4 linked regions of the Lepisosteus oculatus genome follow. The protein of the gene in region 1 purifies or fractionates together with the protein of each later gene. This does not show direct contact. Links are inferred from orthologs where the notes say so. Each region holds a gene or a part of one and is shown on either strand. Other genes may lie near its edges.

What was found.
Region 2: the proteins of ddx39b (region 1) and dhx9 purify together in Homo sapiens (affinity purification with mass spectrometry, with the first as the bait; 3 studies listed by BioGRID). This does not show direct contact. The link is inferred for Lepisosteus oculatus from reciprocal best matches to the Homo sapiens genes DDX39B and DHX9.
Region 3: the proteins of ddx39b (region 1) and hnrnpua purify together in Homo sapiens (affinity purification with mass spectrometry, with the first as the bait; 3 studies listed by BioGRID). This does not show direct contact. The link is inferred for Lepisosteus oculatus from reciprocal best matches to the Homo sapiens genes DDX39B and HNRNPU.
Region 4: the proteins of ddx39b (region 1) and specc1la purify together in Homo sapiens (affinity purification with mass spectrometry, with the first as the bait; 3 studies listed by BioGRID). This does not show direct contact. The link is inferred for Lepisosteus oculatus from reciprocal best matches to the Homo sapiens genes DDX39B and SPECC1L.

What each region holds. Positions count from the first base shown.
Region 1 is NC_090709.1:41,005,888-41,013,717, forward strand, and holds the start of ddx39b (DEAD (Asp-Glu-Ala-Asp) box polypeptide 39B), read left to right. Parts: upstream 1-4,817; 5' UTR 4,818-4,921; intron 4,922-6,147; 5' UTR 6,148-6,155; coding exon 6,156-6,372; intron 6,373-6,881; coding exon 6,882-7,009; intron 7,010-7,830. Other genes in the region: polr1h (DNA-directed RNA polymerase I subunit RPA12), read right to left, coding at 1,310-1,419, 2,214-2,317, 3,356-3,496, 4,249-4,417. UniProt on the Homo sapiens protein: Involved in nuclear export of spliced and unspliced mRNA. Component of the TREX complex which is thought to couple mRNA transcription, processing and nuclear export, and specifically associates with spliced mRNA and not with unspliced pre-mRNA.
Region 2 is NC_090704.1:7,602,312-7,610,188, forward strand, and holds the start of dhx9 (ATP-dependent RNA helicase A), read left to right. Parts: upstream 1-4,874; 5' UTR 4,875-4,922; intron 4,923-4,973; exon of another isoform or gene 4,974-5,072; intron 5,073-5,656; 5' UTR 5,657-5,674; coding exon 5,675-5,785; intron 5,786-6,156; coding exon 6,157-6,297; intron 6,298-6,380; coding exon 6,381-6,513; intron 6,514-6,781; coding exon 6,782-6,921; intron 6,922-7,212; coding exon 7,213-7,361; intron 7,362-7,424; exon of another isoform or gene 7,425-7,877. UniProt on the Homo sapiens protein: Multifunctional ATP-dependent nucleic acid helicase that unwinds DNA and RNA in a 3' to 5' direction and that plays important roles in many processes, such as DNA replication, transcriptional activation, post-transcriptional RNA regulation, mRNA translation and RNA-mediated gene silencing.
Region 3 is NC_090697.1:23,072,049-23,079,287, reverse strand, and holds the start of hnrnpua (heterogeneous nuclear ribonucleoprotein U), read left to right. Parts: upstream 1-4,219; 5' UTR 4,220-4,392; coding exon 4,393-4,936; intron 4,937-6,089; coding exon 6,090-6,204; intron 6,205-7,239. Other genes in the region: efcab2 (dynein regulatory complex protein 8), read right to left, coding at 1,127-1,211, 1,915-1,939. UniProt on the Homo sapiens protein: DNA- and RNA-binding protein involved in several cellular processes such as nuclear chromatin organization, telomere-length regulation, transcription, mRNA alternative splicing and stability, Xist-mediated transcriptional silencing and mitotic cell progression.
Region 4 is NC_090717.1:9,929,517-9,936,367, forward strand, and holds the start of specc1la (cytospin-A), read right to left. Parts: upstream 3,010-6,851; 5' UTR 2,892-3,009; coding exon 2,854-2,891; intron 626-2,853; coding exon 433-625; intron 1-432. UniProt on the Homo sapiens protein: Involved in cytokinesis and spindle organization. May play a role in actin cytoskeleton organization and microtubule stabilization and hence required for proper cell adhesion and migration.

The sequences.
Region 1 (7,830 bases):
GGGTAGCTTGTTCCCCACCCCCGCCACCCTCTGTGTACAGAAGAGCCTCCTGTCCTGACTGGAGGAGCTCACCCAGCTGTATCTGGAGAGGAGCCAGGGTATCGGCTTCAACCACACGGACTGGGCGGCTTGTTCCCCACCCCCACCCCCCTCTGTGTACAGGAGAGCCTCCTGTCCTGTCCTCAACCGATTGACTGACTGACTCGATAGACTAATCGAGTCACTGATCGACTCGATAGACCGGTCGAGTCACTGATCGACTCGATAGACCGGTCGGGTGACTGATCGACTCGATAGACCGGTCGGGTGACTGATCGACGTGATAGACCGATCGAGTCACTGATCGACTTGATAGACCGGTCGAGTCACTGATCGACTCGATAGACCGGTCGGGTGACTGATCGACTCGATAGACCGGTCGGGTGACTGATCGACTCGATAGACCGGTCGGGTGACTGATCGACTCGATAGACCGGTCGGGTGACTGATCGACGTGATAGACCGATCGAGTCACTGATCGACTCGATAGACCGGTCGAGTCACTGATCGACTCGATAGACCGGTCGGGTGACTGATCGACTCGATAGACCGGTCGGGTGACTGATCGACGTGATAGACCGATCGAGTCACTGATCGACTTGATAGACCGGTCGGGTGACTGATCGACTCGATAGACCGGTCGGGTGACTGATCGACTCGATAGACCGGTCGGGTGACTGATCGACTCGATAGACTGGTCGGGTGACTGATCGACGTGATAGACCGGTCGGGTGACTGATCGACTCGATAGACCGGTCGGGTGACTGATCGACGTGATAGACCGATCGAGTCACTGATCGACTTGATAGACCGGTCGGGTGACTGATCGACTCGATAGACCGGTCGGGTGACTGATCGACTCGATAGACTGGTCGGGTGACTGATCGACTCGATAGACTGGTCGGGTGACTGATCGACTTGATAGACTGATCGGGTGACTGATCGACTGGATAGACTGATCGGGTGACTGATCGACTCGATAGACTGGTCGAGTCACTGATCGACGTGATAGACTGATCGAGTCACTGATCGACTTGATAGACCGGTCGGGTGACTGATCGACGTGATAGACTGGTCGGGTGACTGATCGACTCGATAGACTGATCGAGTCACTGATCGACTCGATAGACCGGTCGGGTGACTGATCGACTCGATAGACCGGTCGGGTGACTGATCGACTCGATAGACCGGTCGGGTGACTGATCGACTCGATAGACTGGTCGGGTGACTGATCGACTCGATAGACTGGTCGGGTGACTGATCGACTTGCCGGCAGTGGGTGCAGGTGTAGAAGACGGTCTGTCCCTCGTCGGCGGACCTCATCTGTCGGGTGTGGTAGACCATCCCCTCCCGGCCACAGCGAGAGCACCTGCGGTCAATCTGGGGGCAGAGACACGGGTCAGGGGTCATAGGTCAGGGGTCACCCCCCCCCCACCGTCAGTGTGCGGACCTGGATTCAGCAGGGCCAGGGGGGTCAAGGCAGCCTATCAGGGCCCAGCGTGTCAGTCCATCTTGGTCCATTCAGAACCCAGAAGAACTGCAGACAGGGACCAGTGACCCCAGGACAGAGGTCAGGGACCAGTGACCCCAGGACACAAGTCAGGGACCAGTGACCCCAGGACACAAGTCAGGGACCAGTGACCCCATCACAGAGGTCAGGGGCCAGTGACCCCATCACAGAGGTCAGGGGCCAGTGACCCCAGGACAGAGATCAGGGACCAGCGACCCCATCACAGAGATCAGGGACCAGTGACCCCATCACAGAGGTCAGGGGCCAGTGACCCCATCACAGAGATCAGGGATCAGTGACCCCAGGACACAGGTCAAGGATCAGTGACCCCATCACAGAGATCAGGGATCAGTGACCCCAGGACACAGGTCAAGGATCAGTGACCCCATCACAGAGATCAGGGATCAGTGACCCCAGGACACAGGTCAAGGATCAGTGACCCCAGGACAGAGATCAGGGACCAGTGACCCCATCACAGAGGTCAGGGATCAGCCACACCAGGACACAGGTCAGGGGCCAGTGACCAGTGACCCCAGGTCAGAGATCAGGGATCAGTGACCCCAGGACACAGGTCAAGGATCAGCCACACCAGGACACAGGTCAGGGGCCAGTGACCATTGACCCCAGGTCAGAGGTCAGGGACCAGCGACCCCAGGACACTCACCACAGGGCCCTTCAGCTCTCCCTCCTCCTCGGACATCATGGCGGTGCTGCTGGACTCCAGGCTGTTGAAGACGACCGACGAGGTGACCACCTGGTCAGCGAGCTCTGCAGCACAGAGGGGGAGAGAGGGCACTCCTGAGGGACTGAGCCCTGCACACTCCTGGGGCAAATCCCCTCTCACACAGGTGGAGCAGGGGTCAGTGTGCCTGGTCCAGTCAGTCCAGGGGTCTGTGTCCCTGGTCCAGTCAGTCCAGGGGACAGTGTCCCTGGTCCAGTCAGTCCAGGGGTCTGTGACTCTGGTCCAGTCAGTCCAGGGGTCTGTGTCCCTGGTCCAGTCGGTCCAGGGGTCTGTGTCCTCTGGTCCAGTCTGTCCAGGGGTCTGTGTCCCTGGTCCAGTCAGTCCAGGGGACAGTGTCCCTGGTCCAGTCAGTCCAGGGGTCTGTGACTCTGGTCCAGTCAGTCCAGGGGTCAGTGTCCCCGGTCCAGTCAGTCCAGGGGTCAGTCGGTCCAGGGGTCTGTGTCCCTGGTCCAGTCGGTCCAGGGGTCTGTAACTCTGGTCCAGTCAGTCCAGGGGTCTGTGTCCCCGGTCCAGTCAGTCCAGGGGCCTGTGACCTCTGGTCCAGTCAGTCCAGGGGTCTGTGACTCTGGTCCAGTCAGTCCGGGGGTCTGTGACCTCTGGTCCAGTCAGTCCGGGGGTCTGTGACCTCTGGTCCAGTCAGTCCAGGGGTCTGTGACCTCTGGTCCAGTCAGTCCAGGGGTCTGTGTCTCTGGTCCAGTCAGTCCAGGGGTCTGTGTCCCCGGTCCAGTCAGTCCGGGGGTCTGTGTCCCCGGTCCAGTCAGTCCGGGGGTCTGTGACTCTGGTCCAGTCAGTCCGGGGGTCTGTGACCTCTGGTCCAGTCAGTCCAGGGGTCTGTGTCTCTGGTCCAGTCAGTCCAGGGGTCAGTGTCCCCAGTCCAGTCAGTCCAGGGGGTCTGTGACCTCTGGTCCAGTCAGTCCAGGGGTCTGTGACTCTGGTCCAGTCAGTCCAGGGGTCTGGTAAGGTTAGTTGGTGCCAAACAGCGCCACCCACAGGGAAACGCAATCCATCAATCAATCAATCGATCAATCAATCAATCAATCAATCAATTGCTCTGAGCCACTGACCGCTCACGCCGATGTCGTAGCCGCAGCGCCGGCAGCTCACCACGTCCTCCACGCCGGGGACGGGCAGCACGGTGCCGCACTCCGGGCAGAACAGCGGGTCGCCGTGGAAACAGGAGCCGGGCAGGGCGTCTGCTGACATTGCTGCGGAGGGGAACCGATCAATTCGGGGCGACCGGCGCGCACCGCCACGACCCCGTTCTCGAAACCCAGACTAAATTCCACTATCAGAGAACAACCTGGCCTCTTTAAAATTTACAACCAGACTGTGGTCACTGAGCCTGTCCTCTCTGGACAGCTGGGTTTGCCTGTGTCCAGTGTGTGTGTCCAGGCTGTGGTCACTCTGAGCCTGTCCTCTCTGGACAGCCAGGTCTGCCTGTGTCCAGTGTGTGTGTCCAGGCTGTGGTCACTCTGAGCCTGTCCTCTCTGGACAGCCAGGTCTGTCTGTGTCCAGTGTCTGTGTCCAGGCTGTGGTCACTCTGAGCCTGTCCTCTCTGAACAGCCGGGTCTGCCTGTGTCCAGTGTCTGTATCCAGGCTGTGGGCACTGAGCCTGTCCTCTCTGGACAGCCAGGTCTGCCTGTATCCAGTGTCTGTGTCCAGGCTGTGGTCACTCTGAGCCTGTCCTCTCTGAACAGCCAGGTCTGCCTGTGTCCAGTGTGTGTATCCAGGCTGTGGTCACTGAGCCTGTCCTCTCTGGACAGCCAGGTCTGCCTGTGACCAGTGTCTGTGTCCAGGCTGTGGTCACTGATCCTGTAGGTCGTCAGACCCGGTCTCTTACTCGCTATTTGTAGGCGCCGTTCCAACTTGGTCTTTAAGAACAACCATCCGCCGAGTTAAGAGTCCTTGTAACCGTCCCAGATAACGCCTATTCCGCATTATATCAGGGGGTCCCTACCGTGATCGGAGGTCAGTCGCGGGTAGCTGTCGCCCTCACCTCGCTGTTGCGCCGAGACACGTGTCGTCCGCAGAACACAAACACAGTCGAGAGCTCTTCCTGGCTGCGGACTGCTGGGGCGCATGACGTCAGCCCGGCAACGGAAGTGACGTTCAATGCGCGCCGGCATTTAAAAAACACTTTTTGTCTTTGTTTTGTTATTCTATAGTGTCCGTATCTAAGTGCTTTTTATAGTAATACGAACTATATAAGAACATTTATGCATGAATCTATTAATAGTCTGGGTAGAAATCAGAAACAAAATTATCTGAGGCTTCTCCCTCCGTCAATGTTTTTGTATGGTGAAAGCGAAACATTATTTCCATTAAAAACCCGGAAAAACACACCTCACGTCTGTAAAGATGTTCACTGATTGTGTGCTAGGTTATAATCACCTCTGGCCGCGTGCCGTTCTGTGTCTGTGCGTTTTTATTTGTGAACACCCTTTCTGTTTTGTTTGGAAAAAAAAAAACAAATAAAAGGTTGTGAGGGGAAAAAGACGGGAGTCCTGCGCGTAGTGCATCATGGGAAAACGGGAGGGAGGGGGACGGTGGGTCGCGGCGCCGGCGCACCCGAGTGACGTCACCAAACGCCCCGAAGTCGTTGCTGCGAGAGACGGAGAAACCATTCGAAGGTAAACGCGTTTTATTTCACGGTTAAAAACCACCACCCGCCCCCTCCTCTCAACGCGCCGTTTGCGGGTTTTTTTCTCCTCATAAACCGCTTTCTTCCGCCTCTTCTCCGTGCTGGTCGGCGTGACTCCTCTCTCGAAGGGAATTTTTGTTTTTCGCGTGAGGGCGGTTTGCTGGGTGGCGCGACTGGGCCCGTCTTTTTGAAAGAACAAAAAAAAAAACCCGCACTGGGCCATTGTAGTTTTACACACACACACACAAAAAAAACCTCGAACAGACGGGAAAAAATCGGATTTCCTAACGCCCCTACACCCACTCGGGGTGCCCGCGGTCCGGTCCGGTCCGGTCCGGAGACACGGCTTGAGCCCGTCCCGTGAGCTTTCGCGTGTCCGTGGGAGTGGGAGTTGGGGGGGTGATCCCCCGTGTAGCCCCGATCTCGCTCACGTCCGGCGCGGTTTTACATCCGCTAGTTTAAAAAAAAAAAACACGGATCTGGAAATTGTCAGTCGTGCTGCTCGATCGGTCGAAAGGGACCGACGGGCTGGTTGTTGTCGGAGCCCGTTTGTCCCGGGACAAGATGTCCCCTCCACAGCACGGTGAGGTTGGCGGTACTATTGTACAGATCTTCGTGCGTGTGTGACCGCAAAAACACCGCCTTCAGTGGGACTGCTGGATTCAGAGACTGCAGGTCCTGAACGAGTGCGGATCCACGTCTGCATTTAAAAGATCATATGTTCTCGTCTAAATGAGTAACAGGGTGGCGAGACACTCTGTTAAGGTTCCTTGTTCCGCCACGCACAGCTGTGAACACTCCTGTGTGAAAAATGGCAGTCTGTTCCTGTGGGGATCACTAACCAGACGTGTTTAGGGAACTGCTGTGTCCAGTCAGTGTGTCTGTGTGAACCCCTCTCTCTCTCAGTGCAGTGTTCATGTACTGGAGTGTCCAGTCAGTGTGTCTGTATGAACCCCTCTCTCTCTCAGTGCAGTGTTCATGTACTGGAGTGTCCAGTCAGTGTGTCTGTATGAACCCCTCTCTCTCTCAGTGCAGTGTTCATGTACTGGAGTGTCCAGTCAGTGTGTGTGTATGAACCCCTCTCTCTCTCAGTGCAGTGTTCATGTCCTGGAGTGTCCAGTCAGTGTGTCTGTATGAACCCCTCTCTCTCTCAGTGCAGTGTTAGTGTACTGGAGTGTCCAGTCAGGGTGTATTAGCCCCTCTCTCTCCCTCTAGGTAATACCATGGCTGAGAACGATGTTGATAACGAGCTCCTGGACTATGAGGATGACGAGGTGGAGGCAGGTGGAGGTGGGGGAGACGGGGCTGACCTGCTCCCCGTCAAGAAGGAGGTGAAGGGCTCCTACGTGTCCATCCACAGCTCGGGCTTTCGGGACTTCCTGCTGAAACCGGAGCTCCTGAGGGCCATCGTGGACTGCGGGTTCGAGCACCCGTCTGAAGGTAAGACAGGGACACAGAGACACAGCCACTCTCACAGAGACACCCTCACACAGACACACCCTATCTCACATACACTCTCACAGAGACACGGCCACTCTCACAGAGACACGGCCACTGTCACTGTCAGGGCTCAGTGTGGTGTCCAGACAGCAGTGTCCAGATATCAGGGCTCAGTGTGGTGTCCAGACAGCAGTGTCCAGATATCAGGGCTCAGTGTGGTGTCCAGACAGCAGTGTCCAGATATCAGGGCTCAGTGTGGTGTCCAGATATCAGGGCTCAGTGTGGTGTCCAGACAGCAGTGTCCAGATATCAGGGCTCAGCACGGTGTCCAGATATCAGGGCTCAGCACACTGTCCAGACAGCGGGTCCCAGCGCCGTGTCCAGACAGCGGGTCCCAGGGCCGTGTCCAGACAGCAGTGTCCAGCGCAGTGTCTATGCTGTGCTCTGTTCCATTAGCGAGTCTGTATTTCTGTCTTCCTGACTCCCCCCTCTCCCTGTCCCCCCCCTAGTTCAGCACGAGTGCATCCCGCAGGCCATCCTGGGAATGGACGTGCTGTGCCAGGCCAAGTCCGGGATGGGGAAGACGGCCGTGTTCGTGCTGGCCACCCTGCAGCAGCTGGAGCCCGTCACCGGGCAGGTACCGGATCCGCCTCTCCAGTCCAGTCCAGTCCAGTCCAGTCCAGTCCAGTCCAGTCCCGAGATCCCTGGGTCCCCCTCTCGGGTCCATTCCACCTGCCTCTCTGCCCAGACAACAGCCCTCTCCTGCGTATCAGCCACCGCCGCCTCCGCTTCCTGGTTTTCCACTGTCACCTGACCAGTGGCCCGCCTCCCAATTGGTCAGGTGGCGGAGGGTGGCTGCCCCCACCATCCCCCCCAGTGCTTTCTGGGAGATGTAGTTTCTGGCAAAGTCTTAACCTTGATTCCTTCTCACGATGTTTGCCTCTGTCCGTTTATCTCTCTCAATCTCTGGAGCGTGTCACTCTGTTAAAAGTCTCTGTGTCTGTTGTCTGTCTGTGGACAGGAGCTGTTAAAGTCTCTGTGTGTGTGGTCTGTCTGTGGACAGGAGCTGTTAAAGTCTCTGTGTGTGTGGTCTGTCTGTGGACAGGAGCTGTTAAAGTCTCTGTGTGTGTTGTCTGTCTGTGGACAGGAGCTGTTAAAGTCTCTGTGTGTGTGGTCTGTCTGTGGACAGGAGCTGTTAAAGTCTCTTGTGTGTTGTCTGTCTGTGGACAGGAACTGTTAATCTCTCTGTGTGTGTTGTCTGTCTGTGGACAGCAGCTGTTAAAGTCTCTGTGTGTGTTGTCTGTCTGTGGACAGGAGCTGTTAAAGTCTCTGTGTGTGTTGTCTGTCTGTGTCTCTGGAATTTGTGATGGGTCTGATACTGCAATAAGTATATTCCCCTCTGTCTCTCTCTGTAGCTTTTGACTGGACATGGGCGATACCCTCTCCACTCCTCTGTCT
Region 2 (7,877 bases), on another chromosome or scaffold:
CAGGCCAATTTCTGTGGTCACTTCTGTGTATTAGTCAAAACTGGGTTTTCATCCAAGTGAATGTACTTGTGTCACAGTTCCATTTGCCACTTGGTGAGACTTGGAAGAAATCTCAGTTCACCCCTTCAATTTCCTGTGGATATCAGAATGATACACAGGTGGCTTACAGTGAGACTAACTGCAGGTGTTAAAGTAGTAACCTCCAGAATGTATTTTATAGACTTTTTTTTTAAGACGACAGAAAAACAGCATATTACTAGTTGCCCACAGAAACATTTTTAGATATTAGCATAGTATTAAAAATTGAGAAGTGTTTCCAAAACCCAACATTATTTGTGTTTGCTTTGAAAGAGATTAGCATACTATATGTATGCATGTGCAGCTCTGAATATTCAGATTAAATTAAAATGCCCTGTGAGAACTGCTGATAATTAGGGGAGTATAATATATTCAGGGGTCAGTATACTAGTGACATCTTTTTTATCAGTGCCCTTGTATACTTACAGAAAGTGGTTTAGATCATTTCTCTTATATTCCAAAAAAGATTCTCAATCATAGACCTTTTTCTCAAAGATTACTTGCATATAACGAACACTCTGTGGTTAAAAACTTAATTTAACATCAGTGCAAGTAAAATGAATGGATTCTATTTAAGAAATAGGGAAAAAAAAATCAGTCTTTGGAATGATCGGCTTTACACTGTGAAATGTGCTGTGCTGCAGTACAACATTATAACCTGTGAGAAAAATGTTAATGGATTGTTTGCATTTATGCCCGATTCTGAATCCAGGGTTAGATTTTCCTTTCTCAGATTCGCATCGAACAATTATTTTAAAGCGCCTGTTTGGAGTAGACTTCAGGTCTAAGGTCAAACCGCTCGGAGGTGCCCAAGCCACTGGCTGTTTTTGTCAGATTTGTTTTGTTGTTGAGGGGTACAGGGAAGTTGCATTTTTGTAACACTTCAGGAAAAAAAAAATTGGAACTAAATATAATATGCGCACCGACGAATTAATTGTATTTTTTGTTTTAAATCTGCTTGGCCATTAGCAGAAAGACTAATGATTGGGCATCCTTCCAGCGAGAGCCTTGATCTTTCCAGGGGAATGTGTGTGGACATGCAAACTAGCTTTACGAAAAACCCCTCCATGCTGCAGGAAGCCTGCTAAATGTAGTTGCCACATACTTCCATCTTAATAATTTCACCTTCCTGCAAGGGAGATAATAATTAAGCTAATTTTTTGTTCAGCATTATATGCAGATGAAACAGCATAAAAAGTCCAAAATTAGGAAAATGAAATGCCTTAATATGGGTTACAACCCTCCATAGAACACAGAAAACCATTCAAGTCACACATCTTTAGTATTATATAAACCAGAAGCAATACAAACAAGTTTAACTCATTTCATAAAGGTAAACATACAGTGTAGTTGTATTCTACTGGTATGTAATGAGGTAGCCCATGGAATAATTTATTCCAAAACACAATGCCATTTTTGAACATAATAAGAGGACATTCAACCCATTTAGCTTATTGTGTAGTAAGTAGCTAATTCCTTAAACCATAGTATACATCAGGTATTTAGCTAAAATCATTTAAAATGGATTCATCAAGTATCAGCAGTTTTAACTGTCCATTTCTGTGCTCAATAGGTATGGTGATCAAGGAGAGCACATTTCCCTCAGCAGTGGATTAAGGATTGCTCTTTTTTACAGACTTCTTGCAGTCTTCATTTCCTAGCATTTACATTTTAACTGTCCTTTCATCTTTATTTTTATTTATTTTTTGAGATGGCACCCTGATAACTAAAGTTTGTGGGAGGAATAAGAATTGATAAAACTCAGTTTTGCTGAAATTGAATAAATTAATCATTTCTTCGAAGGGTATAGGAGGAAAATCCATCTCGTAGGCATATCATGTCATAACTGCCTTAAACAAAGATGATAAATGAATATGTCTAGAAGACAGAAACCAAATCTGGCTTTTGGGATAGATAACTAAGCCCACATTAAAGGAAAATAAAAAATAAAAAATGAGCCTACCTCTGAGACATTACCTTTCATAGTTCGTAACTCTGATAAGATGAATGCCTTGTTAATATAAGCACAGCAGCATTTTTAATGCTTACAGATATGAGATACACAATGCATAACAATGGCATATAGCTAGATTTTGTCAGAAACATGCATCTTCAACCAAGGCTTAGTTCCAAAGAACAGTTACTACATATGAGGGGGGACTTTAGCCCTCTTGAAAGGTATCCCCCCCCTATTTTGAGAAGTGTACCAAATATTCCCACAATCATATTGACCCCCTCTCACTCTTGTGGTGTCAAAGGGGTTGTGGACACCCTCTTGGGCATGGGCAGGCTCCCAAACCCAGCCCTTTTTAAAAGCTCTTTTGGGTTCCTTTTCTTCTTTACACACACTCTCCTTCAAGAGTGGTGATCACACTGGCCTCCCTCATCAGAGTAACAGGATACAAGACTCCACCTTCTGTTACTTCTAGTCCCTTTGCTTCAGAATATCAAGGTGACCAAGTTCATCCTGTTGGACTCACCGCCCCACACCCACACCCATACACCTTGACATCCTCATGCTGAACTCACAGCTGCCAGCACACCTCACTCTGTGCCCAGCCACCACTGCACTATCTCCCTAGAGGGTATAGCTAGATAGACCCCACTTGTTTGCCCCAACACCAATGCATCACCAGGGGGAGAGTCCCTCTACCACACAAGCCACTCTGGTGCACGCACACACACGCTAATCAAATCACAACTCACTCATCCAGCGGACAACAACAGCCCTGCTCTCACACCCTAGAAAGATGCTGTCCTTTTGAATCTTTCAGGGATCTCATAAAGCTCCGTTTCTTCTAATCAGTCTCCTCCCAGACTGACAGTCTTACTCTTTTCCCTCACAACTCCATCTGGAAATGGAGTTCTTCTCCAGCCCATCACGGGGTTTACTACAGCGGCTAATAAAGCCTCAGTTCACTCCTTCAAAGCGGCGCACTCTTCAGACATCGCCCAGTCTACAGCAGAGCATCCACACTCGGGGAAAGCTAATCTCCCTCTTCCTCTTCCTCGTCCTCTTCCTCGTCCTCGTCCTCGTCCTCGTCCTCGTCCTCGTCCTCGTCCTCGTCCTCGTCCTCGTCCTCGTCCTCGTCCTCGTCCTCGTCCTCGTCCTCGTCCCACCACCACCACCACCACCACCACCACCACCATAACTACAGCAAGACCAAACCCCTGTTACATCTTTTTCTCTTTTCAAGACGTTTTAAACCACTCCCACACCTGCCGTTCATTCCACTTATTCAGGCCAGGTGTGGTTTGCACGGCAACGCGTCTCCCTTAATCTGGGGCTCCGTCCCCCAGACCACAATCTACTTTAAAACATGGGCAGTTGAGGGAAGGCGTTATTCATTTTTTTTTACCAAAGTTTTCAAGTTTTTTAAAAATAATTTTAAAGGTAAGCAAACAATTGCAATACTTTATTCATCCCAAAGGACCAATTTAAGATGGTAGATAATAGTAAAAACCATGCTAAAGTTTTCATTTACAAAAAAAGCGATTGATTCATACGTGATATTATATATTATATAGGGGATATATGCGCAACATTGTAGTTTCCTTGTTCAGAACATATTCCTGAACCAAATTAACAGGAACAGTTTCAGAAAAAAAAAAGCTGTCTATGCTTGGATCACATCAGATCGGGTACGTGATTTTAATTTATAAGGACTTGTTTACAAAGACTATTCCAGTAAACAGGTAAAACTTGTACACCCACGTTTCCATGCTGGTTCACTGGCAGGGTAGTGTAATGAAAATGCGGTAAAATGATAAATTGATTTAATAAGCAAATATGGACTTTGAAGGCTCAAGAATGTCCCAAGCACCAGAGAGACCTCTACAGGTGTCATTGAGTATCTGCACGGTATGAATTGCTAATTCCCTAGGTCCTCCCACACACAATTACATGCGGAAAGACTACTGCTCATGCAGTTTTGAAGATGCAGTCTAACAACCTTTTTTTAAGTGTCAATATACAGTGGCATATTAATCCGTGTAAACGGTTGTATGCTATTATCAGCTATAGGTTTCACTTTTGCATATTTACGCATGGATGTATTCTACAACAGTATTTGGGGTTTGACAGATAATTCAACTTTGTATAATCTGAGTTGCATCAGGGTACTAAAGCTATTGTTTTCTATTAAATGCAGTTAGGCTGAATAGTTCTATATTCGAAATCTCAGCAACTTTGAGAATAACAATTTGATCACGGTCATTCTAAAAGCAGAAAAATCCCAAAACTATTAAACATCTAGATTAAAATTCACTCGAACTTTATGCAAACATGGGCCAATATTCTACGAGACCTCGGGGAAAAAAACATTTTATTGGAATTTCATTTTTTCAAAAACCTGCCTTCTGCCCTTTCCTTCTGCGTGCACAAATTAGACATTAAAAAGGTCTGTATCCTACAAAACATGAGAATGTAAAGTGTAAACATAATGCTAAATAAAGTACCTTTTCTCCAAGTACCAAGTTTTCTTTTTACCTTAATAAATTTATATTGCTCGGCAACAATTTATACCTTGAATGATACACAAATTCCCTATATAGAAGGAACACTACATCACTAAACGTCCTAAATTTTGAAATGTTTGCCACAACCATGTCTATCAAATAATGCACACAGACGGTCAACGTGTGGCGTTTTTTACACCATATTGCTGCGGTTAACAGTCTTAAGGTTAGATTTTACGGTGAGACTGATTAATACGATAACTTTATTTTCTGGAAGACCGTGGTCCAATACTGGATGGCCCCGCCCCCGATATTATAGCTTGCTTCCGGGACGGCCATTTTGTATTTTGGTGAGGAAGTGGGTTCCTTTGCGACTGTTTATACAGGTTTGTGGGCCATTTATCTTGAAATTCTGTTTTGCAGACGTGAAAATGTGTGTGCAATTCAGAAAGATACCAAATATCCAGTGAAGCTGTACTGTTCAATGAATTGTGATAGCTTCAAGCCGGTAATTGCGAGTTAGCCTCTATTAACTGGTGAGATACGGGTTTTTGTGTCTCTGCATACCACACTGCGATACTCTGGTGCTGCATTTCAGTTGCTTTGTAACTCAATGATATGATAGCAATGTTAGCAATATGTTTTCAGATATGTTTGAAGGTGCCACGCTCCGCACCTTCATTTAGATTTATTTTCTTGTCTGTGCAAACCTAAACTCTACACGCAAGAGGTTTTACAAGGGCATGAGTACGTGCAGATAATGTAGAAAACATGGGTCCAACTGAAAGAATGCTTCATTTTTACAGAGCCAAAAACGATTCTGGCAATTGTGCTTTAAGCTTTCATCGTTTATTCACATGCAAAATCCTCATCAGCTACTCAGCAGTAGCACAGCAAAAGTGTTGATCTTGAAAATGTCTACATAGTACAGTAGTGTTTAGTGTGCACTGAGTACTGCGGTCACGCACAGTGGGAGTTTTCAATTGATCTTTTGAAAATGTTGTATTCTAAGATGTATTTTATACGTGCACTCACACTTTTAGTGATATATATACATAGTTTCTGATTTTTCCGTTCCATGTTATTTTTTTTGTCAACATTTCATTCTTACACTTATCAGGAGTATTGTCAGCGCACGATGGGTGACATTAAAAACTTCCTTTACGCCTGGTGTGGAAAGAGGAAAGTCACTCCCAACTATGAAATTCGAGCAGCTGGAAACAAAAACCGACAGAAATTTATGTGTGAGGTATGCATCTTGTTGTATGTCCTGTGTACTTTTTTTTTTCAGGTTGACTTCTGTATGATCTGTTTCAATGCAAGGCAGAACAAGTAGGTTAGCCTTAATATGTGGATGGTTCTACATTTATCCTGCTGCTTTATAGGTGATTACAGCTTCTTCGGAGTCATCTTCTTAAACCTACTTCAAATATCTGACAAATAATTCATCAGCAAGACCAAAAATAGGGATTAGGAAAATGTAAATACTTCTTTCTCTTTAACAATGGCTGCTTTGTTTTAGACTTCCAGCAGTTTTAAAACGGATCAGTGGTTCGGGAAGCTTGCGTGTTGTCAGATTGCCGCTAAAATGTGCAGTTTAATTCACTTGTGTCCTCTCAGGTCCGTGTCGAGGGTTTCAACTACACTGGAATGGGAAACTCCACCAATAAGAAGGATGCTCAAGCCAACGCTGCCAGAGATTTCGTCAATTACCTTGTCCGTATGGGGGAAGTGAATGCTAGTGACGTCCCTGCATTGGGGGTTAGTAGGCGAATGTATTTGTAAATGGGTGTTAAGGTTACTGGTTAGTTGCTTTTATCCCAATGTTTTCTTTTGGTTTAAAGGCCAGTTTACCAGCCAGTGATTGTCCTGATGGTGGAGGAGGGGGAGGAGCAGGTGCAGGCAGCGGCGGCGGCTTTGGAAATCTGCCTCCAAACGGACCTATTCCTCCACATCTGATTGTAAAGGCTGAGCAAGGTGAGATGCCAGGAGATCCCTGGAGCAAGTAATAATGGGGACTGATTACACGTGGTTGTCATATGAACATATCAGACTGCCACTTGGCTGGCAGATGGATAATTAGAGCTTAATAGTGTTTTCTATAGGTAAAAAAAGAAAGTGTGTGTGTAGTGCTAATGGTATCATCTATTAACAGTATAGTGACAGTATATACTAAACTGATGGACAGTGATATGGTAAAATGATTGTTGATTTGACCAGGAAAACTTCGTTGTACACAACTCAGGTTCTGAAGCAGGACCTAGCTCGGGACCTGTTCCAGGGGTGACTGGTTTGGGCTATTCTGGTTTTAACAATGCCCAGTGGGATCGTGGCGCCAATCTTAAGGATTACTACTCAAAGAAGGAGGAACAAGAAGCACAAGCAGTAAGCCTTATTAATCCATTATTCTGCAGTTTTCCAAGCTGGTTAACAGAATGGTTTTCAAACTTCATTTAATAAAGGAAAACATTGATGCATTCTATTTTTTCGGTCTAATGTAAGTAACTTTATGATACTTGACATGAGATTAGTTTCTAGAGAATCTTTATAAAGCTATGGGTCAAATTTCCTTTCAGACTTTCCATAGAGAAGGTGCTTCCATAACCCTTTCCTTTTAAATGTTACACAGATGTCCATTATTACCAGTAACTCCTGCTTTTTTTTTTTGTCTTGTAGACTCTCGAGTCTGAAGAAGTTGATTTGAATGCTGGGCTTCATGGTAACTGGACTCTAGAGAATGCCAAAGCCCGTCTGAACCAGTTCTTTCAGAAGGAAAAGAACCAGTCAGACTACAAATACAGCCAAGTTGGGCCTGACCACAACAGGTCTGGGGGATCCACTGGAGGTTCTTTTGTCAGAAAATGTTTTTTGGTCATTTGTCCATTCCTTTGATATTCAGCTTTTCACCTTTTACTAGTGTTATGTGAACCATGCTTTGAGTGAATAGTGAAAAATGTTATGGCAGCATCTCTGTTATGCAAATGTGATGATGATATGAAGTTATTTAAATGAGGAGCGTTAGAAGCTTTTAGTTTTGGCAGGTCAAGAGTTCTTAAGACTATATAACACTATGATCTTATTAATGCATTTAAACTCAGTTATAACTTTTTGGCTAAGTTACTGTGAAGCAGTTTTAGTGTTTTTCTAAGACATCGGCTTCTGTATCTGCATAAAAGTGTTGAAATGTGTATGCTGCTCTGCTGAAGCTGCAGTGTTTCTGTGAATTGATAATGTCCTAGGTGGGCAAGCCTTAAATCAAACTGTCTCCACTCTTTTGTGCATGTGAAAGGGTTAGCTGGGTTTGAATTGCAAAAACATAAGTGTCCTGATTTATAAAGTAA
Region 3 (7,239 bases), on another chromosome or scaffold:
AGTTTTGTTACACAAAATGGGTGTTCTCCAAAGCGTTTTGAATAAGAATTTCACACAAGATTGTTTAAGTACTGGTTAACATATGAGGTTTCCAAAAACACTCATTTTAAAATTATATTGCATTTAGATTATGCTAAATTAATTCATGAAAAACATTAGATCTGTTTAAACCTCTACATCTGCTCTACGTAAACAAAATATTACAAATCTCTGAATTATGTTTCCTACAAAAAACAGGATACATTGCGATTTTACTACCTGCATTCTGATTAAAATGTATCATACACCAATGCAATGAAGTATACTGTACCTGTTCAATTATTCTTATAAAATGAACACCAACATATTTCATTTAAAATGACATCAAACAAAATGTCACAATGTGTATAATTACAAGTGATAACGATACTGAAAACGTATCCTTATACTATATAAATTCTATATAAATTCAAAAAATGTTTTTCGTTATCGTGATAGCGGTCACACCCTTGCCGGTGTTAAATCACCCATTGGTTGAAAAGCGCAGGTGAGTAACAAGTGAGGTACAGTACTACAGTACGTTGATACCGATTTATTAACGTCTAGTTAAAATCGATTGAGCGTTGAATACTGCACCTAAAACGCTCCCGTGCTTTGTGACATTTCCATCATAGATACGGTATGTCCCCCACCTCTTACAAATGTGCATACTGTATGTGAAAGCTTTATGTAAAAAAAAGCTCAAATCATTTGCTTGTTAATGAAATTTTATATGCACCAAAAATGTTAACTAACAGCAAAAGATGTATGTGGTTTAAAGCCTGTTCTATTCCCACGAGCAGGCTGACTGTTTCATAACATTATTTAATAAAACAGACTAGATTTATGTTAGAGCAAACTTCCCAGAAAGGCTGAAGCTATGTAACCCCCTGCTTTGGAAAAAGCTTGGTGTGGCGATACCCATTTGTCATTACAAAATACTTTGTTTTATAACAAATATTCATCACGTTTAACTAAACGTAAACATGACGTTTAAAGATAAAACCTATGTTGTATCTGCCTTTGCCGCTCTGAGATCTATGGGTTCTTTCCATTGAAAAATTAGAAAAGCAATTCGCGAAATGCATCGTTTATCTGTTGCCCAAACCTCACATCCACCGTCTTGTTGGACTCGTGGTCAAACACGTCAAAAGCGCCGCTGATCTTTTTCTGAACAGCAGCAAGTATTGCGTCTAAAAGGCAAAAATAAAATGTGCCAACAAGCTTTAATTTGAAGTAGTCTCAGTTCTACCTGCAGTACAAAACCTTCAAAGTCCAATAATACATACCAAAATGACTACAGTTATGTGAAGAGGAGTCATTTTAAATAATAAACTACTTTTGTTTAAACAATGCAGACTACAGTAGTCAAAAAGCAAAACGACTGAAGGAATCGTAAGATTTACGTCTGTAATCATATGGTTTAATCATATGGCTGGTTGTTCATCTCATTTCATCGCGAAATAGAACCTAATCGAACTTTCTATTAAATTAACAACACTGTACATGTGACTAATTATTGCTACTGCTTTCTACTGATAGACCCTCAACAGTTTGAAAGTTGAGTGTGGGGTAGACAATAAAACATAATCGTTTTTACGTTCCTTCTAATGTGCCTGTCAAAACAATCGTCTGATCAGTAAAAATAGGTACAGTACTCAGAACGGTTTGCTCAGTAAAACTAAGTACACTACTAAACAAGATTTTACTTAGTGAAGTTTGCAGGTAACGTTTATGTGAATCTGCATGACCTACGTTATCATGTCTTTCGCAGACACTTATTTGTACATTTATAAAATTAATCAAAAATGTATTTTTCGGAGAAGGTCAAACATGCTACATGCTTGAAAGTATTTTATAACAAAAAACTAAAGATCGGTAGTGGTGCTACAATACCTGCGGTATCCTTGTCTTCCGCCATGTTTCACTGCTCTTCCAGTTGCTAGGAGACCTAATGCTATCCCAACTCCCCTCAAGACTTCAGTTGTAGCAACTTTACTTTTGGATCCTTAAAACATGCTCTATGCAATTAGTAAACTGTACGGTACATTGGCATCTGCAATAACAATAAAAAAAGTTTTCCAGGATATGTATCTAAATACGTTCTACTGAAAGTTAAAATAATGTATCAATACGAATGTAAATATGGTGCACGACTGATTTCTTCAAAAATTGAGAAATTTAAACAATGATACCAACGAAGGTATTTATAATTTCCAACACGACGTTTTAGTAAAGGAAATTAATTCTAAACAGTATATTTCTTCGAAAGAAAATATGTCTGCTGTTCAAATTTATGAGGACAAATTAATTGAACTATGTAAATAAAATAATCACCTTATTTAAATATGTTAGCAATTGATATTTTAAGATACATTCATAAATTCAGTTAAATAGTTTTTGATGTACATTTGGGCTAATGTTGTTAGAATATGGAATATTTCCCCATTGAATGACAACTGTAGGACAAAATTCACAAATACTTTTTAATTCATATTTTAAGCTGCCTTGTGTGGCAATGTATTGATTTTCTGATACTTATTTATACTTGAAATGTCACATAAACACTTGTCTGTTGTGACAATTTACCAGTTTCCAGTTACCAGTATTGGTTTGTCTCTTTGAATGCATCAAACAGAAACTACACAAACATTAAAGTTTCTGATAAATTTGCATTCTAGTTTAATGAAATGTGCAACACTGACCCACACATTGTGTAAATCATATACTTTTCTGTTCTACTCAAGACGTTTTTCACTTCAGTAACTAAACTTATTTTAGTTGACTTTGAAGGGATTTGGATATGTTAGCAAATACTGTATAATGTCTGTACACCTTCATATGAAAATGTTCATGGTAGTATTCCATTATTCAATGTTTGAAGTGAAACAGTTGTATGGTGTGTTGAGGTGGTGCTGGGGCCATTGGTTCAGTTCCTTGGGTGCTATCTGTGTGGAGTTTGTATGTTCTCCCTGTGTTCAAATGAGTTTCCTTTAAGTTCTCCAGTTTCATCCCACAGTCCAAAGACATACTGGGAGGTTAATTGGCTTCAGGGAGAATGGACTCTGTTGTTGTAAGTGTGTGTTTGTTTGTATCTATGATTCATCCTATAATTGACTTCTGTCCAGTCCAGGGTGTACCCTACCTTTCCCTGTTGCTTGTCAGGATGGGCTCCAGCCCCCCCACACAACCCTGAAGTGGATGAAGTGTTTGGTTGTCTGTGTTTCTCTAAAAGCCCATTGGCAATACTAAGAACAAACCTCTCAAGTATGAAATCCCCTTGAGCTCAGTCCCTGTACAGAGATAATTCAGTGCAGCCAAAGAAACCCAACCTGAATGGTGGAAGGTGGGAGGAAACAAGAACACTCTGCAAAACTCCAAGTGCACACGGAGGAACCATGCAAACTCCACACAGACAGATGCTCCCAAATGGAATTCAACTCAGAACCTTGGAGTAACGAAGCAGTACTGCTAACCACCATGTTATGTATGTGAGTGAAAATAATAGAAAATATCATCTTCTTGTAAGCAAGTTGTTATCTGTCAACATAATTTGACAACGTTTCTTTGCCTCATCTGATGAAGTATATATGGACCACTAAAATGCAGACAAGCGGAGGATTGGGGAGCACTGCTTGTTCCCCCAAAACTATTACGCTGCATTATGCAGAATAACACGCGCAAATGGTCTTCTCGTGTTTTTTTTTTATTTGTTATTGTACATTGCATAGCTACAACATTGCACTATTTCTTTCTTTTCTGTACATTGCGAAATACATGTGGCCCTTGGTGAAATTCGCTTAGAATATGTTGTGCTTCACAGAAACATCAAGGAACAATCGCACTTTCCTAATATCTCTGCTCTGCAAAAAAAAAAAATGTAGAATTTAAAATACTTTCGGCTTTTTATCTTGGATCACTTTGCACACGATCGTGCATTCTTACTGGACCATGCACTGATATTAGAAAAGCCTCAGAATTAAAACGCTAATAAACTCCGGTTTGCTGTTTTACTAAGCACAACAGATTTGTTTCTTAACTTTTAATACATTTCTAACAAAAGCTAAAAATATGCAGGCATAACACTGTACCAAATGAAACTGTCGTCGCAGTTGTCGGCTAATTACGGTAGTCACCGCCCAATTTCTCCCTCCTTTCGCATGAATACGGTAAGAGTGTATTACGTACAACTGGCGCTAGATAGCCGCGCAGCTGCCAGTGGGAGAGACGCACAGAGAGGGACGAGCGTTGTTTGGCGCAGTAGAAATTCTAGGCGGCTTTGCTTTCTCTGTATCACTTTGTCTACAGGGCTTTCTTTTAAAAAAAAAAATATTTGTATATCCCCGAGCTTCGAGCGGAAATCCAACGGGAAAAATGAGTGCAATCAACGTAAAGAAGCTAAAGGTAAACGAATTGAAGGACGAGCTGAAAAAGCGCCGGCTCTCTGACAAGGGGCTGAAGGCCGAGCTGATGGACCGGCTGCAGGCCGCACTCGACGAGGAGGCCAAAGCCGGTGGCGCTTTCACCGGGCCCGGAGGCGAGGAGAACGGGGCCGAGGGGGGATCGGATGGGGCGGGCGGCTTCGATGAGATGGGCGACGAGCTGGAGGACGATCTGGCCGGCGAGAGCATGGAGGCCGAGGAGGAGGAAGACGGGGGCGAAGCGGACGCAGCAGAAGTCGAAGCTGAAGCCGAAGCCGAAACCACTGCCGCCGCCGCCGCCGCCGCCACAGCTGCTGCTGCTCCTGCTGCTCCGGGCGGTGGCGCAGATGTCGGCGGGCAGGATGATGAGATGGGGGAGGAAGAGGAGGAAGACGCGGGAGTCGAAATGGATAAATCCGAGGATGATGAAGATGCCGGGATAGAAATGGACAAATTCGAAGAGGAAGATGGGGCACCAGGATCGCAGCCCGCTGAAGGTTAGTCCCCATCTTAACTAAGACCCGAAACATCACGTGTTTACGCCAGCCCTGCCGGTCGGAGCAGAAGGCGCAATTGATGGCTGTTACTTAACAATACGGGCCAAACAATTGTTAGACGTGCTTCGATAGGGGCCTTGTCTTCGGACACGAAGGCGCAGTTTGGGCGTTCGTTTTTTTTCTCTTCTTTTTCTGCAAACGCGTTTTGGAGGTCAGACGCGAATGACGCGGGGTGCTATTTGTGGTTTTGTCGGCGCTTTCCAGACAAAGATCCACATGGTGCTGCCAGGCGAGATGAAATGGTGGCCCTGGTCGGAGGCGGCGGCGGCGGCGGCGACTCGCCTCGCCTCCATTGTTCTGTGGGCGACGGGCCGGGCCTGCGGATGTGTATCTGTCTCGGCTTTAGCTGTGTCCCCCCGCGACGTCTCGGATGTTCCTCCAGCTCTCTTCCCCGCGGTTGCCTGTCGTGTGCGCTTCAGTCTGACATTGCTCAAGCCGTGTCGGGCCTAGTCCTTCCGTTCCGTGCCTTCCTGTAGTGGCAGGACTTTACTGTACTTTCGTTTTTGTTTTGTCGGCTGTAAGTTTTCGGAGGCTTTTTTTTTGTTTGTTTTGGACGATTTGTTTGAGAGATTTAGACTGGTTTGAGGCGTCATATTCCCGCCGGACTGATTTTTTTTATTTTTAAATCTGTGCCTTTGAACGGTTAGTGGGCAGTAGCGGTTTTGAAAAATGATAGGGAAGGTTAAAATCCGATTTTATCAACGTGTACAGCGCTTATTGCCCACGTATTTCAGACGCAGTCTGAACTGGGAATCGGGTCTATTTATTGGGAAAACCAGGCTGGAGCTTTTAACGGCGAGAAAGGTCTCAATTTGCAAATATTTCCTGGGAGAAAGTAAACTTGAAATGCGTTGTTTGTAGTAAATGCCGTGTACATTGACCGGCATGGAGAGCAACGATGGTGTGGGGGGGAGGAGGAATGTTCATAAAGCTTGGAAAAAAATGTCTTTACAATTTTGGTCTTCTCTGTCACAAAAAAAGACCAAACGCGCTGTAGTCTTAACAAAAACATGCAGCAGTTTGTGGCCGCCATGTAACAATTCGGCTCAAACGCTGAGGTATCCCTCTTCATGTTGTGTTTTATTTTTCAAAGGAGACGCTGATAAAGACAAGAAAGGTGAACAGAAGAATAAGAAGGGTGTAAAGAGACGCCGTGAAGAACATGGAAGGGGCTACTTTGAATTTATCGAAGAAAGCAAATACAGCCGGTAAGGACCATGGTGGCCTTCGCTAAATCTGAAGTGCCACCGCGTAAGTGAATGGCTCACGGATTCACGGATGCCCCTGGGTCTCCTCTGTAAAAGGGGTAACAAAGAAAAGCCGAGGAGACCAGAGCAGCTGGGCAGGGTGGGGGTGGGGGCGGGGGCTCAGCTCGCATAATGTAGGGTTTCTGCTAGAAGGACGTCTGCCCTTTGGGTCTTCGGTTAGTGTATTTGGGGGGTAATAGTCTTATCTAAACAGTTTCACTTACATTGAGTCATCTGCAGATTAAGTAGTGGGGAGCGAAGGGTTTATTTTTTGCTTTAAGAATATCGATCTGTTCTTGAGGATGCAGGCGACTAAAATGGCGCGTTTATCCATGCTTTTCATCTAGGCATTTCTGACGGACCTTGAGTTTTGACATGCAACCCCTTTCGAGAACGCAGTTCATTATAGTTTCAGCGTCACCGTCAAATTCCTGCGCATCGTTAGAAATTGAATTTGTCGCTTTAAAGAGGAATGGGGATGAGACGTTTCGATCGTTTACAAATCTGAGAAGTTTTTTTTAAACTCGAGATGTCGATTTTGTCGTCTTTGGTTCAGATTAGGTTGCTTAACCAGAACGTTTTTGCTTTTCTTTGATGGACGTATGTTTGTGAAAGTGCGGAACTAACAATCAGCTTTTCTTAAACATGTATTTAATTATGTGGCTGTCTTCGTTTTAATCCTTCGTGTTCTTTGCGATGTGGAAGCCTACGTCTTAAAACATCATCTTCATTTAACTGTCTTAATGTAGGGGTCAGTAATTCAAAGGTAGGGTAATTCATTTTGTATTTCTATCCCATTTGATAAATGTGTCTGTTTCTTTAAAATTGGGGTTAATTTTAATTTCAGATCACAAGAGATTTTAACTGTGGCATGAAAAGCAGGCCATGTTGAGTATTTTTATACTCATTTATATTCTCATTTATGCAATGCCTGATTTGAGAAGCATGCACATCAGAATTTTGTAGTGTTTTAGAATGTTTACCTGTCTCACAATG
Region 4 (6,851 bases), on another chromosome or scaffold:
CACACACAAGGTGTATATCCTACAGCATTCCTAAATTCTAGCAGTGTTACAATGAGATTTATAGCCCACACACAGCTGTGGTCACCCGAGTTATTACCATGAACGGCTGTTTATGAGTGACCATTACCAATCGGATTGGGATCATAGAAAATATTTCTACCTATGGCACAGTGGCGGTTCCTGATTAAGCTATCCCTGCCTTTCAGTTACTCCTGAGGCGTCACGTACAACAGCAGGCGTCTGTTTAAAATGCACTCAGGCCAGGTCAGGAGCAACGACCCCGGGCCAGAGTCAGACTTCCACAGCACCACCCTGAGAGGAAGACAGCCCCGATTCGGGCCCTGTGACAAAGTGTGAAGAACCAGGAAAGAAAAGTGGAGATCGAACCTCCGCACGCAAGCAGAGGGAGGGGAGCCCCTCGTCCTCCATTACCTTGGAGAGTTGGGGTGCAGAGGCAGCCTTGGCGGCAGTCTTCACAGCCCCGGAGCCCCCCGAGCCGCTGTCGGGTCGCCCTCTGTCCCCGCCCGGGCCCTTACTGCCTCCCGCAGCCTTGGGCGCAGTGGCCGCAGACCTGCTTGCTTTCTTCATGATGGGCTCTCGACTTCTGATACATTTACAGCGCAATCTGTCAAAGGCAAGACGGGAGAATCAGTCGGTTTAACAACATTAGCCTTCTGCGCTCAGGGTCTGTACATCATGGCCTCTCTTTATACCGTATCCTTGTTTATTTAGCAATATTACTTCGTCCGACAGTTTTGCAATTCTGTGTGAATGCATTGGCCTGTTTTCCGATTTGTTATTGTCTGCTGCGCCGTATGAGGTTATGAACCCCGATTCTGCCCGGACTAGAATGCAGTCTTGCCCTGCCCACTAGGGGGAGCCAAAGGAGGGGCTTATAGTTTGTGCCTGTCCGCAGCCAGTCGTTTTTTTTACTCTGCTCTCAGCTGCTGCTTAACTCTCAGACTTTTCTCTAAGCTGCGTTTCTATGCTTTCACAGTATTTTGCTTGCTGGACAGAGCTTAGCTTTAAATTTAACTTTAGATTTCCATAATATGTCATTTCATTATCTTTGTGAACACCTTTCTCTTAGTGCAACTCCATCCCCGGCAAGTTTAGCACGCGCTTATTAAATCAACTAACATAAAAACGGCTTTGATCTCTTCAGACAGGGCTTGTCCAACATTCTGTCGTTTGTTTTTAAGACCAGACTAGCCAGGTCATTCTAGTCCTCACACAGATTTTACAGGATCTTTGTCATTACACAGTCTAATCCACGAGTTTGTATTTTTAGCTCCCTTCTACAACCAGGCACAACCTTGGGATGGTCCACTAGGTGGCAACAATAGGCCAGATCTGCAAAAGCAAGAGAAACTATTGGAAGTGTATTGTAATCAAACAACCAACTTCTGGCTACCTGAGCCATCTCCCGCTCTGAGAGAGAAAAGTCGTTAAAATATCTGCACAATAACAAAGGACAGTAGTAAAAAGCCAGAAACAATGTTTCTCTATAAATAAATTAAAAGCTACTGCAGAATAGACAGTGGGTTCGTTATTCCCATTTTTCTCATTACAGAACATACGTAATGTACTCCCTGTGCCCAGCTGAAGAAAATGGAATAGATGGGGTCCGACCATGATCTTATTGCGTGAGCTTTGTAGTCATCTACTATATTTTGCATTGAATCTCTGTCATTAAAATGTAAGCCTTGTTTCTTTGGTTTAAAAAATTGCAAGCATCAGCAGGGCGCTCCTATAGCGCGTAAGATCTCAAGTGCCTTTCAGGTGAAAGCACTGTTTGGCTGCAGGCACGCTGCCCTAGGTTACCATATTGTTTTTGCTGTTTGCCCAAGAATCAGAAGACAACAGAACGAAAATCCACCTGTCAGTTGCAGGCTTAGCCTAATGTTTCTCAAAACGTGTAAGGCAGAGTACAAAACAGTGGCTGCATCTGCAACCTCTTATGAGTCGACACCATTGGCTAATATACATTTTACTGCCAGATTAAAAGCAGACAGGAAAAAATTGAAGCTGCTGAATTCCAGACAAAATTAATGGTCTCAAAGCCTGGGGAAAAATAACTATGATAAATATAATATGCCTGAAGAGACAGACAGAGTACAGGGGGAGGGAAGAAATTACACTTTTCAAAGCCAGGCTCTCTCGGAACATAAACGCTGTGCGATCTAATTGGTTAGAAATGGATCCGAAGCCATGGGCTTGTGAAAGTATATGTCAGGCATACTTATTTATGGCAATGTAACTTACACCATCTTAAAACAGTTTAGTTCTGCATTTTCTTTCCATCGTTGAAGCAACATCGATTTCTGGAGCTCTAAAAAATCATCTGGAAATGCTACAGAGGCTACAGTACAAGAACTGCCAGAAATGTATGAAGGTCTTATCGGAGATCCATGCAAATTGGGACATGATTTCACTGCATAGGGTGCCATTCTTTGTAAACCATTACTGTAGAGTGACATTACAGCTCGACCTTCCCCGATCCCATGAATCCTTCTCAGTCCTGCCCTGATGGGAGAAGGGCAAAAATCATTTGCTCCCATTTTTGTAGTAGTGCTACCAATAGAAAACATTTCTCCAATCTGATTACGAGGCACTGTTTGGAAAGAGTACAGTTAATATCACAAAGCTGAAAAGTCCACTAGAGAGATCTCAGACACTGCACAAATATTTTAAATTTTATTGGCAAGGAACCATTATGGAAATAACAGCCTATATACAAGCAAAAAAATGAAGTCTACACCAGATAAGTATACATATTTTGCTGCCCAGTCTGTAGGAGAAGTATTTAGATTACCTCTGCCACAAGGATTAATTAAGCATGATGGAATTTACCTGCTGGCTGCAGACGTTGCTTTCCTTGGAGAGCACATTGGAACACAGCACTGCTTCCCAGGATAGATCACAATAAATAAGCAATGCTCTCCAGCTCAGGGAGTGCGTCTATATACACGAATGGACCAGGACATAACCGCCGCTGGCGAGGATTTGAAGAAACACAACCTGTCTCATTGGAGAGCTGTCTGGGACAGCCATGCCAGGCAGGCGGAGCTGGGGGCTCCTTAAAAGGATCTAAGAGCTGTTGAAGCCGAGGAGCTGATAAGGCAGGCCCAAGCTGTACAGGATAGCACAGTGAGGGCAAAAGAATTTGGGCAAGACACCTCTCTGCTACATGCCACTGTCGTCAAAGTGGATGAAAAAAAAGGGGGCCTTGTGCTTTCTCTATGGGTATGAACACACTCACCCCACTGAATGAAGCTCTGATTCCTGTTTCCAGTTGTAAGAACTCCACTTTAGACTGGCATGGCAAAAGGAGGCAAGGGTAAATACCCTTGATTAAAATGTCAAGGCAAAACAAGGCATTTCTATCTAACATGGCAAAGCGACTTTGCCATCGGCAATCCAAAGTTGATGTCTTGAAGTTGGTCTACTTTACACGTTTTAAAAAAGATTGCAAGGACATAACTTTCACCTTTGAACACATGCACTTAGACGTTCATCATTCTAATATTGGGGCAGCTTTCAGTTGATGGGTATGCTCCAGGTACAGAGCCCAAGCCTTCGGGAACAGGCATAGTGTGCGATACACATTTTAACCACCTGTCTTGCTGCCCCATTTGTTTCAGGAGGAATGTTGGTCTTCTTGCATATACTGTATTAATTATCAGTTTGTGAGGAAAGCAAATGAAGGAAACTAATGTACCTGCAAGAGAAGAAAAGAACTCTTAACTTTTTTATCTTAACTCTTAACTTTTTTAAATTTTATCATTATCAGATGCAAAACAGTATTTTCATCAGAAAGTAGGCTGATCTGCACTCTGATGTGTAACCGGAATAACCTGACTAATAAACACACAGGGGAAAAGAAACCATTCATGGCAACTTCTCCCTGGGAACACTTTTAGGATTAATGGAGTAATTGTTTCAATTATTAAAGGCTTCTCATGGCTAGAATTGAATAATTGTTGCCATAACCGAAGAAACTTTTTCAAAGCTCCTTTTTCATGCAGTTTTGTACATTTCAGTGTGTAGTGGAATGCTTTGTACTAAACCTCTGGTTTCCTAGCCACACTGAAATGTTAATAGTGCGCCAATCCACTTACAGATCTTTAAGTAGTTAAAGGTAATATGGGTCAGGATGGTTCTGAAAAGGCAGAAATCTGGACCAACTTATGAATTAACATAATTTCGAGGTATGAACTTTGGATTTATAAAGAGCAACAATAACTCTTGCTTTGATGGAAAATTAACCCAGATCATTGAATGTACAGTAGCTGATTTGATCATCTTGGTTTCTTCTATCAGTTTACAGTAAGCCAGCATAGATGCCATTCATCTTTGTATCAAAATTACAACCATCCCTATATCACCACAATCGCTTTCATTTCGGTCTGTGTGTGAATAATCTCTTGCACCGAACATTCAAGTTTTCTTTTTAAATCCATTTTTTAGCTCTGAAGTCCCTGGGAATGAGTCAGTACTACCAGCAGGGTTGGAAATGTTTTTTTTAAAGGACTGACAAACACTGGACTTAGTGTATCATTACCCATGACGCCCTGGAAGCACAGGGAATGAAGGCAGAGCCTGCGCTGTGGTGTCAGATTCAGGCCTACAGCAAGGCTGCACACATGGCCAATACCTCCACAGATGCCTGGCAACATATCTGATGCACTGCGGGTGCTGTCATTGGTAGCATCCGATTTTTCTGACCAAGAAATGGAAAATATTGGATAGTGGGAGCCAAGTTTTGTAGGCCTTTCGGTGTGTAAATATGTCACAGATTTTTCCACATTGTACTGTACCTCTCCATATAATATCAGTAGACGTGGTAATTGCACAAAGCAAACATTTAGGCTTGTGAAGTGGTAAAATAAGTGCTACATACCGTTTTCCAAAACTGAGACGAGAATTCAGAGCCCTTTTCAATGCCAGTCCAAATCACCCCCACATTTTATGATAAGTGAATGACATTTAACATACTGCAAAATCAGCTTTGTTTTTGGTGTTTTACTTTGTTTTGGGCGTTTTAAACAGAGTTTAAAACAGGCTTTAAACAGATTAACAAAACAGTATCAACAGCAGTATTGGAATTTCTTCATGAACAAGGAAAGCAGTCCTTGAGTTTACCAAGAATAGTTGGTACTGTATCCCAATAGAATCTTGCGCACTGTACCTGCAATATCTGGTCACTCATCTATTATACTTTCTGTTTTAATTCTGAAGATCCATTATATTCCATACATAAAACCAGAGCTGTCTTCTTTCAGTAAGTCACAGACCATATGCAGACAGCGCCTTATTGCAATGGGACAACCCAAGCTTTCACGCTGAATCTTGTGAAGCCCAACTCATTGAAAGTATTGCTTCCATAAAAACAAAAACAAAGCATTCTGAAACCAGGAACTGCTGTGTTTTCTACAGTAGCAGAAAGCACTAAGATCACCAGACAAGGAAGTTTCAAGCATGTGAAGACAGGTATTTCACCTTTCAAACAGAGAAGTCTTTTACATTTGCATTGCTAACAGCCTGTGGGAGCTAAAGAATTTCAGTTCAGTAAAAATCATGAATAGTACAAATATTTCCAGAGTCTGTAGACAGGCTATGTCGGTTATGGAGATAGACTGGATGCCTTCTGAGGTGAGAGATTTAGGGCTACAGTAGACTTGTATCACTAACAGGAGACATCCGACAGAAGTCTTGTTATATTTTGTCTAGAGTTTTAAAATGAAAAATAAACCTATCCTCACCCTCACTGTGACTGGAATTCCTCACTAAGAACCCCCAGAGGAGTTCACAATGTCCCTGAGTTCACTCTGTACTCACGATTTGTTTAGATAAAAGAAAATAAAGGGTGACCTAGAGACATAAGGCCAGCTTTTCTTAAAATAAAAGCTTGTGCTTAAAGCCTCCTGGCCAGTCCAGCCTATTCTACAGAAATGCCAGTAACTTACAAAATCAAAACTGTGCTGTTATCTCATAATCAAACTAAAATCATCCCAGTACTGACACGAGTAGGGATAGCATTTCATCCCTCAGCATTAGCCACTCTCAAGAGCCTGAGAGAGCTGAAGCGTTTCTCATGCCACACATTCCTCTACCTTGGAATCCTACTGCTCTTACATAGACTAAAGCATTTTACACCATCCAGACAACACCTTCATCTACTTTTGTACACATCAAGGCTGACAAAAAAACCTGGAACAGAGTCTCAGTATTTGAGTCTACTGAGGGCCCCTTTAAAGGATAACTCTGAACAAGACTTGTGTACATTTATTCACTTCTTACCGGATATCCAGGCTGTTAAGCACATATGATAACCTTTTTTAAAATAAGTTTCTGTTGTCCATTAGCAGTTATTGACAAATGGGCCTAGTTAGCAACTATTACAAGTTTTGGGTAAAATCGAACTTTAGGAATAATGAAATTCTTTTGAGACTTGAATTGAGTGAAGCCCTATGCCCTCCTCAAATATACACAGCAGACAAAAGACCACCCCAGAAAACAACAGTATTCACAGAAGGAAAACAGGAGAGGCCCATATTCTTAGACAAAAGTTCAGACATCATCATATATTCGAAGCTCTACAGGAACCAATCCTGCAAATAGCTATAAATTATTCACCTCAGCAGAATGAAGCTTTCCTTTGCCTGCGCTCTCCATTTAAGGGATTGTCTGCCATTTCATTTTAAGGGAATTACTAATGGGTCAACAATCATGTTTAATTTAAGATCCTGCATTGTTAAGTAAAGCCTAAATCTCTGCTCCTTCAACTAAAAATTGCTGTGAACAGAAAGTTCCATCATTTAACACTGATGGGAGAAAATGTCACAAAA